Solanum lycopersicum: one gene and its partner. Each later gene encodes a partner of the first gene's protein in a complex. Links are inferred from orthologs where the notes say so. Each region holds a gene or a part of one and is shown in the gene's direction. Other genes may lie near its edges.

Region 1 (7,467 bases):
ACTATGTTTAGTAGATATAGTATCAGAAGTAGAAGAACAGACAGTATGACTATTACATTTGTTGTTATCATGTAAAGTTTTGTTTGTGGCTTGACCATTATTGCTAGACAAAGAAGAATTGTGATTGTTGTGAGATATGCAACAGCATGTGGTGAAGTTAGCAGGGTTCTTCAGACATCTTGAACAAAGAAAATAGAGTCCTTCTCTGAAACTACCAAGCACCTGAGGCCTCTTCACTGAAGGGGCCTGCAGTAAATAAGAAACACTAGTAAACAGGACAACACTTCTCATTGAAAGAGTTAATGAGTGAACTGACACCAGATTGTATTTAAAAGAAGGCACATATAGCACATTGTGTAAAACAATTCCAGATGTGATTACTACATCTCCAAATTCTATCACCTTGACTTTGTATCCATTGGGTAAAGAGACAAGCATAGGGTAAGACATGGTTTGAACATTGGTAAGAGAAGATTTGTTAAAGGTTATATGGTTTGATGCTCCCGAATCAATGATCCATAGGTCAGCACTTGATTTAAAACATTCACATGAAGGATTGCCAAAATCAATAGATGAAGAACATATTATAGTACCTGCAAAGTTCACAGAACCAGCTTCCATGTTTGAGTTGTTCAAATCAGTTCCTTCAACTCAAAAATTCTGCAAAAGTTTCATCATGTTATCATATTGATCTTTAGTGAATGTAACCATTTGATTCTGATTATTCTGCATGCATTCTTCTCTTTGTGCAGATGCCACATTATCAGATGATCCATGAACATTGGCTACAACTCTCCTTCCTCTATATTCATTATTACTGTTCTGCCTTGCATGAGGTCCATTGTTCCTATTAGTCTGGCTAGGATATCCAATCAACTTATAGCATCTCTCCCTGACATGTCCTGTCTTTTTGCAATAACTACAAACCATAGCACTTCTATTGTTACTGTTAGCTGAAAAATGGTTGGATCCTCCATAATTGTTGTTACTTGTATTGCCAGAGCAGTTTTCACTAGAGAATGATGTTTTGTAGTTTCTTCTTGTTGATCCCTTTCCACTATTGTTAGAAGAGTTCACATTCAAGGAAATCGATTCCATAGGGGTTTGATTAGCAGGTTTAAACTCCCTTTGTTTCTCCTCTTGAATCATCTAGGAAAAGGCTTGTGCCATTGTTGGAAGAGGATTCATCATAAGAATGTTGCCTCTTATCACAGTATACACCTCATTCATCCCCATTAAGATTTGTATCAAGCGTCTGTCTTGTTCTGCTTTGTATAATCCATCTTTGGCTCCACAACTACAAGCACAAGAGCACTGATTTTTTACATTCAAAGTGCTCAATTCTTCCCAAAGCTTTTTCATCCTGTTGTAGTAGACTGTTATATCCAAATTTCCCTGTGTGAGATCATTAATCTCTTTTTGAATTTGATACAGCTTTGCTCCATTTGTTTGGTCATATCTATCTTCAAGTTCCTTCCAAAGTTCCACTGAATCACTAACATACTCTACACTATCTGCAATTTCCTTAGTAAGAGAGTTTAAAATCCAGGAAGTCACCATGTCATCGCATCTCTGCCATTGATGCAACTGATTTGAGCTTGCAGTTGGTTTAACACAACTACCATCAATGAATCCAAACTTGTTCTTTACTGACAAAGCTCGCATAACTCCCCTTCTCCAGGATCTATATCCTGTTCCATCGAATTGAGTTGGTACCAACACCATACCAGGGCTATCCGAAGGGTGTATGTAGAGAGTGTTGTGTGCATCATCATTAACAGAGGTTCCTTGTGCTGAAGGAGCACTTTCAGGTCTTGTCATGATGAAGGATCGACTGGATCACAGGAAAAACAATTAAACAAGAAGAATCAACAACAAATTCAAATCAAAAGTAGCAAGAACAGCCTTGCTCTGATACCATATTAAACTGATCAATAATGGTGATTTACACCAAAACAGAAAGGAACCATAATAATCGATTTAGGAAGAAGAAGAAGAAGAAGAAGGAGGAGGAGGAGGCATCGTATGTGTTGAATTGTAGAAGATGCAAAACTACTATCTTCATGTATTGATTCTCATTTATATACAAGAGAATTGTAATCACATATCCAACAAATACAAAAGATATGAAATACAAAATGTGTGACTAACTAACTTTCAAAAATCTAACTAACTTGATGTGACATCCAACTAACACTCTAACTAACATAACTAACAAACTAATCATAATTATATTGTTAATACAAACATAAAAGGGCAAAGCCGTGGTTTGACCACATATTCTATTCAAATTTCAAACATAAAGGATTTTTATCATCTTCGGAGAAGAAAAAATAATAGTACAAGAATTTAATAAACAAAGTGACGGTTCACCTTTGCTATCATAATTGAGTGAAAATAAAATAAAATTGAAAGATGAATTCCTTAGCACCAACCGAGCATCATTAGTTTCCTTGAAAATCCATTGTAAGGCATTTTGACGAATGAAAAGGCTGACTTGGTCCAAAAACAAAATTTCCAACAAGCAAGGCAAGTTCTAAGAAAATAATAGACAAGTCCGTAAGCTCGTCTGACTAGTCTAGAAAACGGGACATAGAAAACTTCCTTATGAATCACACTTTAATTTATGTCATTAACAAGCAATATTTGTGATAGAAGTTGAACTACAGGTAAAACAAAGATGGTACATATAGAGTTTCAAGATTTTCTGCCAATTATGGCGATAAAGCTATGCGGAGAGGGACTGATCAACGAGCTATGCAAAGGTTATCGGATGTTAATGGATGGTGAGAAAGGCGTGATCACAATTGATAGCTTAAAGAGGAACTCTAAGCTGATGGGATTGCAAGATTTTAGTGATGAAGAATTGAAGAACATGATTAGAGAAGGAGATATGAATGGTGATGGAGCTCTTGATAAGATTGAATTTTGTATTTTGATGTTTAGATTGAGTCCTGACTTGTTACTTGTGGCTCAACAATTGTTACATAAAGCTCATCAATAACAAAATAATACTGTCCACCTTAAGTGATACTGTACTACTATTCCTGATTCATCATATTCATATGTAATGTTTCACTTCATTTGTCAATGTTAAACTTTTCTTCTTATCAAGTTAGTTTGCATACTATAATTCAATTAAATTTCACAGAGACGTTATTTTCTACCAAATATAGGTATTGCGTTAATAGCTTTATCCAACAAAGGACAAATAAAAAAAATCACCTACGATATTTTTATCACCCCAGAATTTTCAACCCTCTCCATTAGCCTAGCGGCCAAACTTAAGAACATATTTGGACCAAAAGAGGTATCAGTGAACCAAACTTTAAATGGAGGGTATATCTAAACCTTTTCTAATAGTTTAGGGGTATATTTGACCCTTTTCCCTTTAAAATATAATTGTCAAAATACCAACTTAGCTATATAATAAAACTAATTACTCAACTTTCATTAAATATCCCAAAAATATTCTAGGCCAAAGACCAATAAAAGCTAGGCTAGAAATCACCCTAAACAATTTTTTCCCCTCTCAAGTAAAATAAAAAATAAACCTAAGTTTGGAGCAAAGGTAGGTGTTTTACGAGACAATATTGGGTTATGGTATTCATTTGGATAAAGTTTAGAAATATTTTCGCCTCATGTCATTAAAAATATTTAATATTTTTTATGAAGTTTCAACTTAAAATAAATATTGGCTGTTGTTTTTATTCATTTGCTCTGCCCTCCCATCCTTCAAAATAAAGTTGAAATATTTCTTATAGGATTAGAACAAGTAGGGACTGGACAAACGGAACTTGAGATTTAGCTTCTTCATTCTCAGGTAGTCCTTTGTTGTATTTTTAAGAAAGGTAACAAAGTACTTGCGAACGGATTATTTATTATTGCTATAAACTTTGATTCTATGATTCACTAACCTTTAGCTCTGCTGTTTGCCATTGTTGTAATCATCAAGTTATAAACATAATTAATGCACTGTTGGTTGCACTTGTACTGTATCGACAGTCTGGTAACTTATGCACACAACCTGTTTGATTATTTGCTCATTAGACTTTTATCCTCTATGCTTCAAAATAGGTAACCTTTTAACTGTAGCCAGAAGCAGACTTAGGATGTTAAGCCAGTCCATGTGGAGTACCACCATCTATACTACTATTTAGTGTCGGTGGGTGACAATGCTGACTTAGTTCAATACATTTTTGTAAAAGTGGGCTAGTAGTACTGTGCTCAACAATTCAACATCAATGTTATGGCTTCTACAGTTGACTTTGTTTAACTACATTTTGAATGTTATGCTAGTCTTTTTCTGTTTGTCTTTTAGTTATGTACATAAGAATATGGAGTGGATGTTTTCTATTTTGTGTTTTGTAGAAAGGAGTTTGATAAAATCTGTTCTTAATTTTGATTGGTGTTATCGACAGGTTTTTTATATTAGGAGTTATCCCTAATAGAGATTTTGATTTTCCAGGCGAAGTAGTTAAGCGAGGGAAGATGGTCATCCATTCTGCATTAAATCTTAACTTTTGTGCTATTTCATCACTCTCTGCACTCAAAGCAGGGCAACATTGTAGTTCTTGCTCTTTTTCTAACTTCCTATTGCCGCCTCCTTTGAAACGTTTGACTTGCTTTGCCACTTCAAAAAAGTCTGAAGAGGAACATGTGTCTGATCCTAAGAATAACTCTGGTTCAAGGTCTAGAAAAGCTATAAGGTCCCGGGAAAGTAAAGTAACTCATAACGAAGACAAAGATTCTGCCAAGATCTTCCCATCAACAATCCCTAAAAAGCCAAGGCGTGGTCGCAGGAGCGAAGCAGCTGCAGTTGAGGATTTTGTTCGTGATTCATTAGAAAAGACATTTGCCTCTATCCGAGAGCAGAACTCTGATATGATGAAAGATACCGAGAATATCCTCAAAGATAGGGTTGATGATGACACTGAGTCTGATGAAAGTAGTGATGATGAAGATGACAGCAGTAGGGATAAGAAAGAAAAGAAAATGATCATTGAGGAGGAGGATCCAAATTGGCCTCTGGATGCAGACGTTGGATGGGGAATTAGAGCATCAGAGTATTTTGACAAGCATCCAATAAAAAATGTTATAGGAGAAGATGGAGTTGAGATCGATTGGGAGGGGGAGATTGATGATTGCTGGGTGAAGGAAATCAATTGTCTTGAGTGGGAGAGCTTCGCTTTTCATCCCAGTCCCCTCATTGTACTTGTTTTTGAGAGATACAATCGGCAAGTGGATCTTGTTTTGTTTACAAATTGAAGTCCTAAAGGATATATTCTATAAGCAATATGCAAGTCTTTTATGTTCTCTGAGACAATTGCTAATTGCACAGGGCTAGTGACAACTGGAAAGCTCTTAAGGAGCTGGAGAAAGCAGCCAAGGTGTATTGGAGTGCCAAAGAGCGCTTGCCTCCTCGGGTTTGTGAAACATAATCACTTCTCCTTACATTGTGCATTAGTAAACCCTCTTATCTTACATTTCCCCTAATTACTTGGTGTAGACTGTGAAGATTGACATTAATATTGAGAGGGATCTAGCCTATGCGCTTAAAGTCAAAGAAAGTCCACAGATATTGTTCTTACGAGGAAACAGGATACTATACAGGGAAAAAGGTACTCTTTATATATCCCCTCACTAGTTTGATAAAGTAATTGTAATCTTTTCAGCTAAATTCATTGTTATGTTGAATGATTGTTTACTTTGCAACTCCGGATAAATTTGTGCAGAAATTCGTACAGCTGATGACTTGGTTCAAATGATAGCATATTTTTACTACAATGCGAAAAAACCTTCATGCATTGATGATGCAGCTTTATCTCAACAGTCTTAGTCAACGGAGGTACTGATGCTGACTTGTCTAGGCTTTCATTGAAGCTCATAGATTAATGTCACTAAAAATATTTGAACTTCTAGCACGTCGCAGATTAAGAAAGAGGCAGTGGAGCATGGATCTATCCCTGTATAACTGGAACCAATTGTGGTCGTTTTGTCACTGGAAAACAATTGACCAATTGAGGGCAGAACCTTAGAAGAATGACTGGTTGAAACGAGATCATGGTACTGCTCGCTTGATGCTTGCAGGTGCTGATGTAATTAGCAAGTGGAAGGTTGAAGAAAAAGGTTATATCCTATAATGTGCTTAAATTAGTGCCACATTTATTACTATATAGAAGAGGATAGTTGGAAAGAGAACACTCAGTTGCATGATCTTACTTTAGTTCTATTTGCTTGTTTACATATCATACTAGCCCTAGATGTCTATAAATTACTTTCTGTATTTAATTAGAAAAGTTCATGCATCTTCTGTTACTTGTATCTTGACCTTGCTGGCTATAACTAAATTAGAGTTATTGTTTTCGGGGGAGACGTATGTCACGCTAGGTACGGAACTTTTTTCCATTAATACTAACCTAGATAGATATGAATGGATAATGTATATACCTTGCTTTATTCCATCTTAAGATAAGAAATTAAAGTTAAGATCAGATAAACAAGACACTGTATGTCCATTGGATGGGTTAACTGTGTGTGCTTTTATCTGTTTTAGGTTATATTCAGACACTAAAGTGCTTTCCTTTGAAAAGTTTTGGATACCACATTATCAGGAATATGCCCTGATTAAACATATGTTAAATCACTCAACATCAAACCTAACTAGGACCATTTGTAGATAATACAGTTTAACAAAACCTGAACTCTGAATAGACTCAACTAACAAACTTTCACCTAATTGACCTCTTAAATATGCGGTGATCTTGTTTATCTACTTAATTCTTGGTGGGTGAAGTCTGACGATATTGTGGTGGGAGGTGACAGATATTTGATGATACTCTCTCAATTTTAATTTGTTTTGTTTTTTCTACTTTCTTTCATAGTCCATTTCAACATATGTTTAATTTCGATGGCATATTTAAGGCTACAAGGTTAAAAGTTATTTTCGTATATTCTTCACATGTGTAATTTAAGACCGCAAGATTTAAAAAGCTTCTTTACTTTCTTAAATTTTATCTTGTAGGATCTGCACAGCTTCCCTTGTTAGTTGTTATGTTTTCTTATCCTTTGTACTTGAATTTGCTACCCTTGATTCGAGGGTCTTTTAAAAACATTTTTACCTCCACGTGATAGTAATAAAATTTGTACAAGTTTTATTCTCTTCAAACCTCATTTGTGAGATTTACTGAGTATATTATTATTATTTTACCTTGTTAAATTAAAAGAGATGAAGTATAACGAAGGAGTTGGCTAGAACACCAATCTAGAAAAAGTTCCACGCCCTTCCGAAGAACCTATTGTATGGTGGGACAAATAAAACCATTTAATTGATCAATAATTTTATAAGTAACATTTATTAAGTTGTGATGATAGGAATATACTGTAAAACGATCCAGACATTTGGCAAATATGAGAGGTTGTCACGAAGGCTTTAATTTTGTCATAACGGAAAATTTACAATTTAAA
Region 2 (7,570 bases), on another chromosome or scaffold:
TATGTTAGTTTTAAGGAAAAGACGGAAGGTTCCTTCTTTGTTAAACTTGCCAGTCAATACTCATATCTGTTTGTTAGCTGAACTAATTACTTTTGGCCCATAACTAACCAATAAATATATATATGTATGTACTATAGTATGAAGTGTGTAAGTGTGTACTACTACCTTACTCACATGATTTTTGCCACTATGGTAATTTATCAAAGCGTCTTTATATTTACGAGTTATGATAAATAATACATGCTAAAAAAATTTGAAATGAAATAACGTAGAGGAAATCTCGTTTATATTATTTATTTTTTGTTAAAGAAGATTTGAAGAATCTAAAATTTCTCCTTTGATCAAGGAATAAATATATTCAATGTAGGTAATGACTTAACAAAATTAATTACTTCAAGCTAATTTCTTAATAAGAAGACTTAAATATATTTGTTGAAATTCATATTTATTTTTGTTTATACAATTCATTCTTTTAACTTTTTAGGTACAACATGAAATTATATAAACATATCTTAGTGATATATATATATATATATATATATATATATATATATATATATATATATATATATATATATATATATATATAGATTTTTCATGATGAATGATATATACAAACTACGGTAAATGCACATTGAAAGACCAAAATGGTGAATTGGAATATTCTGCAGGGAAATTCATAATTGTTAAGCATTTTTTATTTTTCATGGTGAATGATATATACAAACTACGATAAATGAACGTTGAAAGACCAAAATGGTGAATTGAAATATTCTAGAGGGAAATTCATATGTACATGTATTTTGTAAAATTCAGAGGATTTCTAGAATCTAAAATTACTTATTTGACCAAGAAAAACAAATATTGACCAATTTATGATGTTAAAAATTGATAATAACATAGTTACTGTACTTGTACATCAAACACTCATTTGATCAAGAAAAAAAAAAGATGACCAATTGATGCGTTAAAAAATAGAAAATTTTCACATATAGCCATTTAAAAATAGTCTTATTACTTTTTATAGCTATAATTTGATAATTACAATTTGTAGCTACATGCTATAGGAAAGAGAGAGGTGAGGAAGACTGGGAGAGAGAGGGGGAAAATAGTGGGAGAAAGGTGAACCATGTATATGTAAATCGATTAGATAATTGTGTATTATACATATGCATTTGTATATATGGCAAGCGAGATTGGGAGAGGGAGGAGGGAGGCGAACAAGATTGGGAGAAGGAGGAGAGAGGCGAGCGAGAGAGGGCAGAGAGTGGGAGAGAGGTGAATTGTATATGCATATATATTAAATAATTGTATATTATACATATCTATTTGTATTTTTTGGCGAATTATACATATACAAATGTGACTAATACAAATTCAAAGTCAACTCACGTAATTAATGTACAATATTAATCACGAGTGATAATTATAGTAAATTATAGTTATGATGAGTAACTAAATACTTGATATACACTCCTAACACACATACAATATACATTTTAGATGATGGTTCCTCTTATATACATATATATTGGACTTTTATTTTTTAAACTCATCTACAAGTACGATTATAATTGTATACTTTTTTCTTTCTCAAAATAAGTGTTGTTTTGATTCTTTTTAGTTTTTGTGCTTATTAAAAAAATAGTATTTACCAAATTACCCTTATTTATTACTTTATCCGTTTCAAAAAGAATGGTTTCATTTTTTTAGTCTATTTTTAAAAAAAAATCTTGCTTTTTTTAGTTACATTTTAATTTCTATTTTTCACGTGACATGTTTAAGACCATAAAATTAAAGGACACTTTAATTTAGGATCACACGATTCAATTTTTTTTTTCTTAAACTCCGTGTCAAGTCAAACAAGTTTATCCTTTTTGAAACGAAGAGAGTAGTTTATTAAAAATCGAGCAAGATTAAAAGAGCAACTTTCACATATAGCAAATAAAAAATTCATATTTGTATGCTATAACAAAGTTTGCATAATTGTGTTCCATAGCAAACATATAAAATGTATAATTCGTTATACATATACCGTTGAAGCAAATTGTATAAAACGAAGTGTATAAAACAAGAAAGAGAAAGACACTTGGGCAGAGAACTGTATAAAAACGAAATGTATAAAACGAATTGCATTATTATAAGTGTATAGAACGATCATAAACAATTTGAATTTGTATAAAACGAGAAAGAGAGAAAGACAAAAGAGACTTGACAAGGAATATACAATTGAATCGAATTGTATAAAAAGAGAAAGAGAGAAATTATATACAATTTGAAAATTGTATAAAACGAGAAAGAGAGAAAGGCAAAAGAAACTGGGCAGGGGAGTATTTTTATTGTATAATTATAAGTGTATAGGACGAAAATACACGTACTTGCATGTGTATATACAATTTTCTCACACTTTATACAAACAGAAATGCAATTTATACATTTCGCTTCTGTTTGTATAAGTGAGAAAGGCGAGGGTGGCGAGTGAAATTTGGGAGAGTGGCGAGCGAGATCTGGAAGAGGGGAGAGAGGGAAACAAAAATATATGTATTTATACAATTTTCTCTGCTTTATACAATTAGAAACAATTTTTATACATTTGTGTTTGTATAAAAAGTGAGGAAGCGAGCGAGAGATTGTTAGGAGAGTGGCGAGCGAGATACTTAGGAGAGAGGCGCCTGACAATTTTTTGCAAACGTTTGCTATGGAGTACAATTAAATTAAACCATAGCTACTCCGTTTATTTTAGGTTATTAGTTTGCTATTATATATAATTTTCTCATATTAAAAAACATATTTTTAATATAAGGTGTATTTTTTTAATACTCACTTCGTTCCATTTTATGTGGCATTTTTGGCCCGGCACGGAGTTTAAGAAATTAATGAAAACTTTGAATTGTTTATCAAATCGAAGTAGACTCACTTTTCTCTTTCCTCAAACGTTTTAGAGTAGTACTATTTAAAATTAAGTAAAACCAACAAGAATAAAAAAGAATTTGTATCTGTAAATACTTACCATGTAAAAAAATATGATATTTTTTTATGGACCGACCAAAAAAGAAAATAATGTCGCATTTTGGGACAGAGGGAGTAATTAATAACTGAGACGGAGGAAGTATTGCAAAAAGAGGGCTTGTAGGATGTTATATTTGCGAAACTGCTCTAAAATTACGAAAATCAAGAAACAAATATGAATAACAAAGGCATAATGGAACATTTTTAAAAACATCAGGGTCTAACTGCCAATAAATTAACTTGCAAAGTTTGAAAAAAGAAACAGTAGGATATCATTTGCGTTATCCCCTTTTATCAGAGGGAGAAGAACACAATCGAAGGGCGAAAAACAATGGCAGCATCAACCCTGACTTTCAGTAGCTTTTCAACACTACAAACTTTCCCCGTAAGCTCCTCGTTCTATTTTTATCCTGTTTTATATTCGCCGGGATCTTCGCCGGTTTCCAGTTTGACTCTCCGTTCTTAATTTGTGAATCCGGAGAATGATAATTTGTCTTCAATGCAGAGAATTGCAGCACTTGAAAATAAAAAACGCGTGAACTTGTGTATTCGGGCGCAGGTGACAGTTCTTCGTAGCCGTCGCTATCTATTTTCAGCTGTGATTTTTTTTTTTGCACAAGTGTTTGTAACTTTTGTTTTTAGTTTGGTGTACAGAGTGCGTCGAATTCTAAAAATGAAGGCCGTGGAGAAAGGCGAATATGGAGGCGAAGAAAATTGGTAAGTTAAGGAACTCTGATTCGTGCTTTTTCCTGCTCGTTTCATTCTGTTTGTTTTAATGTTTATTTTTCGATGTGCACCATTGAATTTACCGGAATTAGATATAAGAGTAGGATGTTTCGTACGTATTGTGCTTGCCTTGTATGGGCTATAGTTGAAAGGATCTAAGCTATATGCACAATCGATTTTTGTTGTCAGTTTCACTGATTTTGGCAGGTTACTTACATCAAGTCAGGCTTACTATAGAATCATGGGCATAGACAATTGTTTATAGTTGGCTTTTAAGTGAGTAGATTTGCTTAAATATTCTTTACACCGTGGGTATATTTGGTGTAACTCAAGTGAAAACTATATTTGTGGTAGACATATTAGACTATGCTTGATATATTATTGTAGGCTGATAATACTTTTCTTCATCTTTGCTGTTGTTTTCGTTTCCAAGTTTGAACTTATATTTCTTTAAGTCATTTTGGATGCCTTGATTTGAACGATGAATTTCTTGGTTAATTAGTTTTTGAATTCTTAGAATTGTTACTTGAGATTGATTGTATCGTCTTTAGAAGAGGGATGATATCCACATTTGATCTGAATCAGACCCTTTTACCCATTTTATGTGCCATATCAAGCTAGCCATCTTTCCTTTTTGCTTGGATTTTATGTTTTTATTAACTACAAACCACTGTAGGCAAAGTGATAGATATTGAAACCTAACAGATCTCCCACATCAGGGGTTCAAGCTTTCTGTCAGTACATCACTTCTCTCTGGATGATAATGCAAAACCTAACCCACTAGAAATTGAAGGTAGGGGAAATGATGATTTCACTTATTGCATTTGTGTGTTGATCTTGTTTGGTGGACCCTGCAAGTAGATAATACCAAGTTTGGAGAGTGTACTGTTATCCTGACTAGTTGTATGTCCAAATGATTTAGGCTGAACACTAGATCCTGAGTATCTGTGGCTCGAGATGTCATAATTAAGGCTTCTGATTCAATAGGGGCTTTGTATGTATGCGGCTCAGTTCTGACTGGGTTCTTTTTAATAGTTGATCATGTCCATGCTCCGATATTCTGGTTTTGTGGTTGCTGCAAAGGCAAAATGTTTTACCATCTGTATATCATTTTTGAGCAGTAATCTGAATTTAAGTACATGTCATTCCTTGGTAGATGGTTCTTTCTCGTGTTTTTACCTGCTATTAGGTTTTCGTATGAGGCCCCTAAGTAAAGAGTGAAAGCTAGCATATTCCTCATAGTTTAAGATTTTATTTGTTATTTCTTGATCTGTGCATGTCATCCTTGCCTATAGGCATGCTAATCTTCTTTATGTCATTCCAGTTTTATTTGTTATTTCCTGGTTGTTCATAGAATAATGATATTTTTAAGGGGTCCTTTTGCTGATGGTATAGGAACAATTGATCTCAGTAAAAATCTTGCGTTGGTCCATAGGATAATATAGCGTATGGTCAACCATATACACAAAAAATTATCGCTTCATAAATAAAATGCAACATTTGGTTGGCAGTACTAAATGATACCTGAATTAAGTTATGCATGACTTTAATATTATTTATGCTTGATAGAATGTAAAATAATAGCACATGTAGTAGCAATGTAGAGATTAAACTATTTAAAGATAAATTGCCCTTTTAGACTAAGTAACTCATTTGTGACAATCTTTTCTTTACTAATAATCACTGCATAACAATTCTTTCATTATTGATCACATCATAAAGGATTCTTGCATTATAATCCTTACTAACCAATATGTGAACCAAACGTCCCCAAACTTTTTTACCCATATTTGTCAAGGTTGGGTTCTTGAGACAAACTTGTAGTTGTTTCAGCCTTTGCTAAAATGTTCTTTTTGTCCATCAAGCTTTATTGCACAACTTTAGGGTTTGTTATGTTTTCTTTTCCTCCACAAATTAGCCTTCATCTCTTGTTGTTTCTCACTTCATATAGTGAATCATCTCTTGTGGATCCACTAATATTTGGTGATCTTCTATGGTCTGACTAGGAATAGAGTGTATTTAACCTTGAAGGCATGCTTTGATGGTGAAAAGCTGACTTTATTGCCTAATCAAACATCTTTATAGTTCTTGAATAGAGGATTTGAGTTGATGAAAAAAGGGGATAGCTCAGAGAAAGTTATGGCAGAAATAGAAATAGATTTTTTCTTATGTTTGAAAACCTGAGTAACATATCTTATATCTTAGCTTTGTAGTAATAACACTGAGCTATTACTAATCCGTGAAACTAACTCCAAAAGTTAACAGCTAGCTTAGTGTCACGGACTTTTTGATTCGGACTAAGTTCCGTGCGGCACTAGACGGTTTACTCACGACTCTTGCACGTTCTTGCAAACTCTAGTAAGCCTAAAACTCAGATCGCTAAGAAAATAAGAAGTAAGACAGAACTTTGGAAGAAGGAACTTCTATTACTTGAAAATAATTGGATGCTTTACAAGTAAAGTAATCTACTATTTATACTACTCTAATGCTGCCTAAGAGTTAGTAAATAAACTATACAAGTTCCTAAGACTATGCCTACAAGACAAGCTTCCAAGTCTTCCAAAAAGGACTCCTAGATGCTCCTAGTCTGCCCCATGATCTCCACAAGCCTCTCAAAGACTTGTAACTTCTGTAACAGCCGCCCCACTAACTGTTGTAACAGCTGAAACTGCTGCCTCTTCAGCTGCTGCAGGCCTCCTTGGCTGCTGACCTGCGTGGTCAGCCTGCTCCCCTGCGCCTGCTGCGCCTGCTGGCTGCCTCGTTGGGTGGCGTTCGGCCTGAATGGATGGCGGGACGTCACAATCTCCCCCACCCCATGATGCGACGACCGCGACGCACTGCTGCAAGAACTCCTGAATTTTGCCTTTGAACTGCCACAAGTCTTCGTACTTCTCCCATGTGGCTTCCTCCGGAGTTTGTCCCTTCCAATGTACGAGAAACATGGCACTGGCCTGTTGTCCTCGTTTCCGCTTGGCTTGGTAATCTATGATAGCTTCAATCTCACGATCATGCGAGGCAGTAACGGTGATAGGGGCCCGTTGTGATTTGTTCCGGCTGGGATCGTCCTTGTCCTCATGATAAGGCTTAAGGACGCTGGCATGAAAGACCGGGTGGATTTTGAAGTGTGGAGGTAACTCCAATCTGTATGAAATCTTACCCACCTTGGCAACAATTTTGAACGGACCCTTATATTTCCGCACCAGGTTGTGATGCATGCCTCTAAGCGCCTTAAACTGCCTCGGATTAAACTTTACCAAAACCATATCACCTTCTTCATAGTTGGTGGGACGACGCTTGCGGTCGGCGAACTTCTTCATCCTCCTTGCCGCCTTGCTCAAATAAGATTTGGCAAGGTCGAGTTGCTCCTCCCAACCCTTGGCAAGGTTGTAAGCGCCCAAACTCTTCCCTTCGAACAATGTTGGCAATGAGTGCGGAGTTTGGGGTTGCTGGCCCGTTGCTAACTCGAACGGTGTGCGCCCTGTAGATTCACTCCTCTGCAAATTATAAGAAAATTGCGCCATGTCTAGGAGCTTAGCCCAATCCTTCTGATGTGCACTAACATAGTGCCTTAAATAGCATTCCAACAAGGCGTTGACACGTTCAGTTTGGCCATCAGTTTGGGGGTGGAAACTGGTGGAAAAGTGAAGTTTTGAACCAAGAATCTCAAAGAGTTCACTCCAAAAGTTCCCTGTGAAACGAGGATCCCGATCACTAATGATGAACCTCGGCAGCCCCCAATACTTCACAACATTCTTAAAGAACAATTGTGCAGCTTCCTTAGCAGTACAACCGGCTGTGGCAGGCATGAATGTAGCATATTTGGAAAATCTATCCA

The links.
Region 2: thioredoxin-like fold domain-containing protein MRL7, chloroplastic (region 1) and protein PLASTID TRANSCRIPTIONALLY ACTIVE 7 share a complex: the UniProt entries of both Arabidopsis thaliana proteins name them as parts of the transcriptionally active chromosome (TAC) complex. The link is inferred for Solanum lycopersicum from reciprocal best matches to the Arabidopsis thaliana genes MRL7 and PTAC7.

Annotation. Positions count from the first base shown.
Region 1 is NC_090801.1:60,371,391-60,378,857, forward strand, and holds the start of thioredoxin-like fold domain-containing protein MRL7, chloroplastic, read left to right. Parts: upstream 1-3,613; 5' UTR 3,614-3,823; exon of another isoform or gene 3,824-3,917; coding exon of another isoform or gene 3,918-3,951; exon of another isoform or gene 3,952-4,468; 5' UTR 4,469-4,491; coding exon 4,492-5,237; intron 5,238-5,341; coding exon 5,342-5,426; intron 5,427-5,509; coding exon 5,510-5,621; intron 5,622-5,735; coding exon 5,736-5,839; 3' UTR 5,840-5,848; intron 5,849-5,922; exon of another isoform or gene 5,923-5,932; 3' UTR 5,933-7,467. UniProt on the Arabidopsis thaliana protein: Plays an essential role in early steps of chloroplast development. Involved in the regulation of plastid gene expression. May positively regulate plastid-encoded RNA polymerase (PEP) activity through binding to FSD3 and CITRX/TRXZ.
Region 2 is NC_090802.1:49,585,076-49,592,645, reverse strand, and holds the start of protein PLASTID TRANSCRIPTIONALLY ACTIVE 7, read left to right. Parts: upstream 1-3,240; 5' UTR 3,241-3,340; coding exon 3,341-3,394; intron 3,395-3,514; coding exon 3,515-3,568; intron 3,569-3,651; coding exon 3,652-3,726; intron 3,727-7,570. UniProt on the Arabidopsis thaliana protein: Essential for chloroplast development, especially for thylakoid formation. Involved in plastid gene expression, probably by maintaining plastid-encoded RNA polymerase (PEP) activity.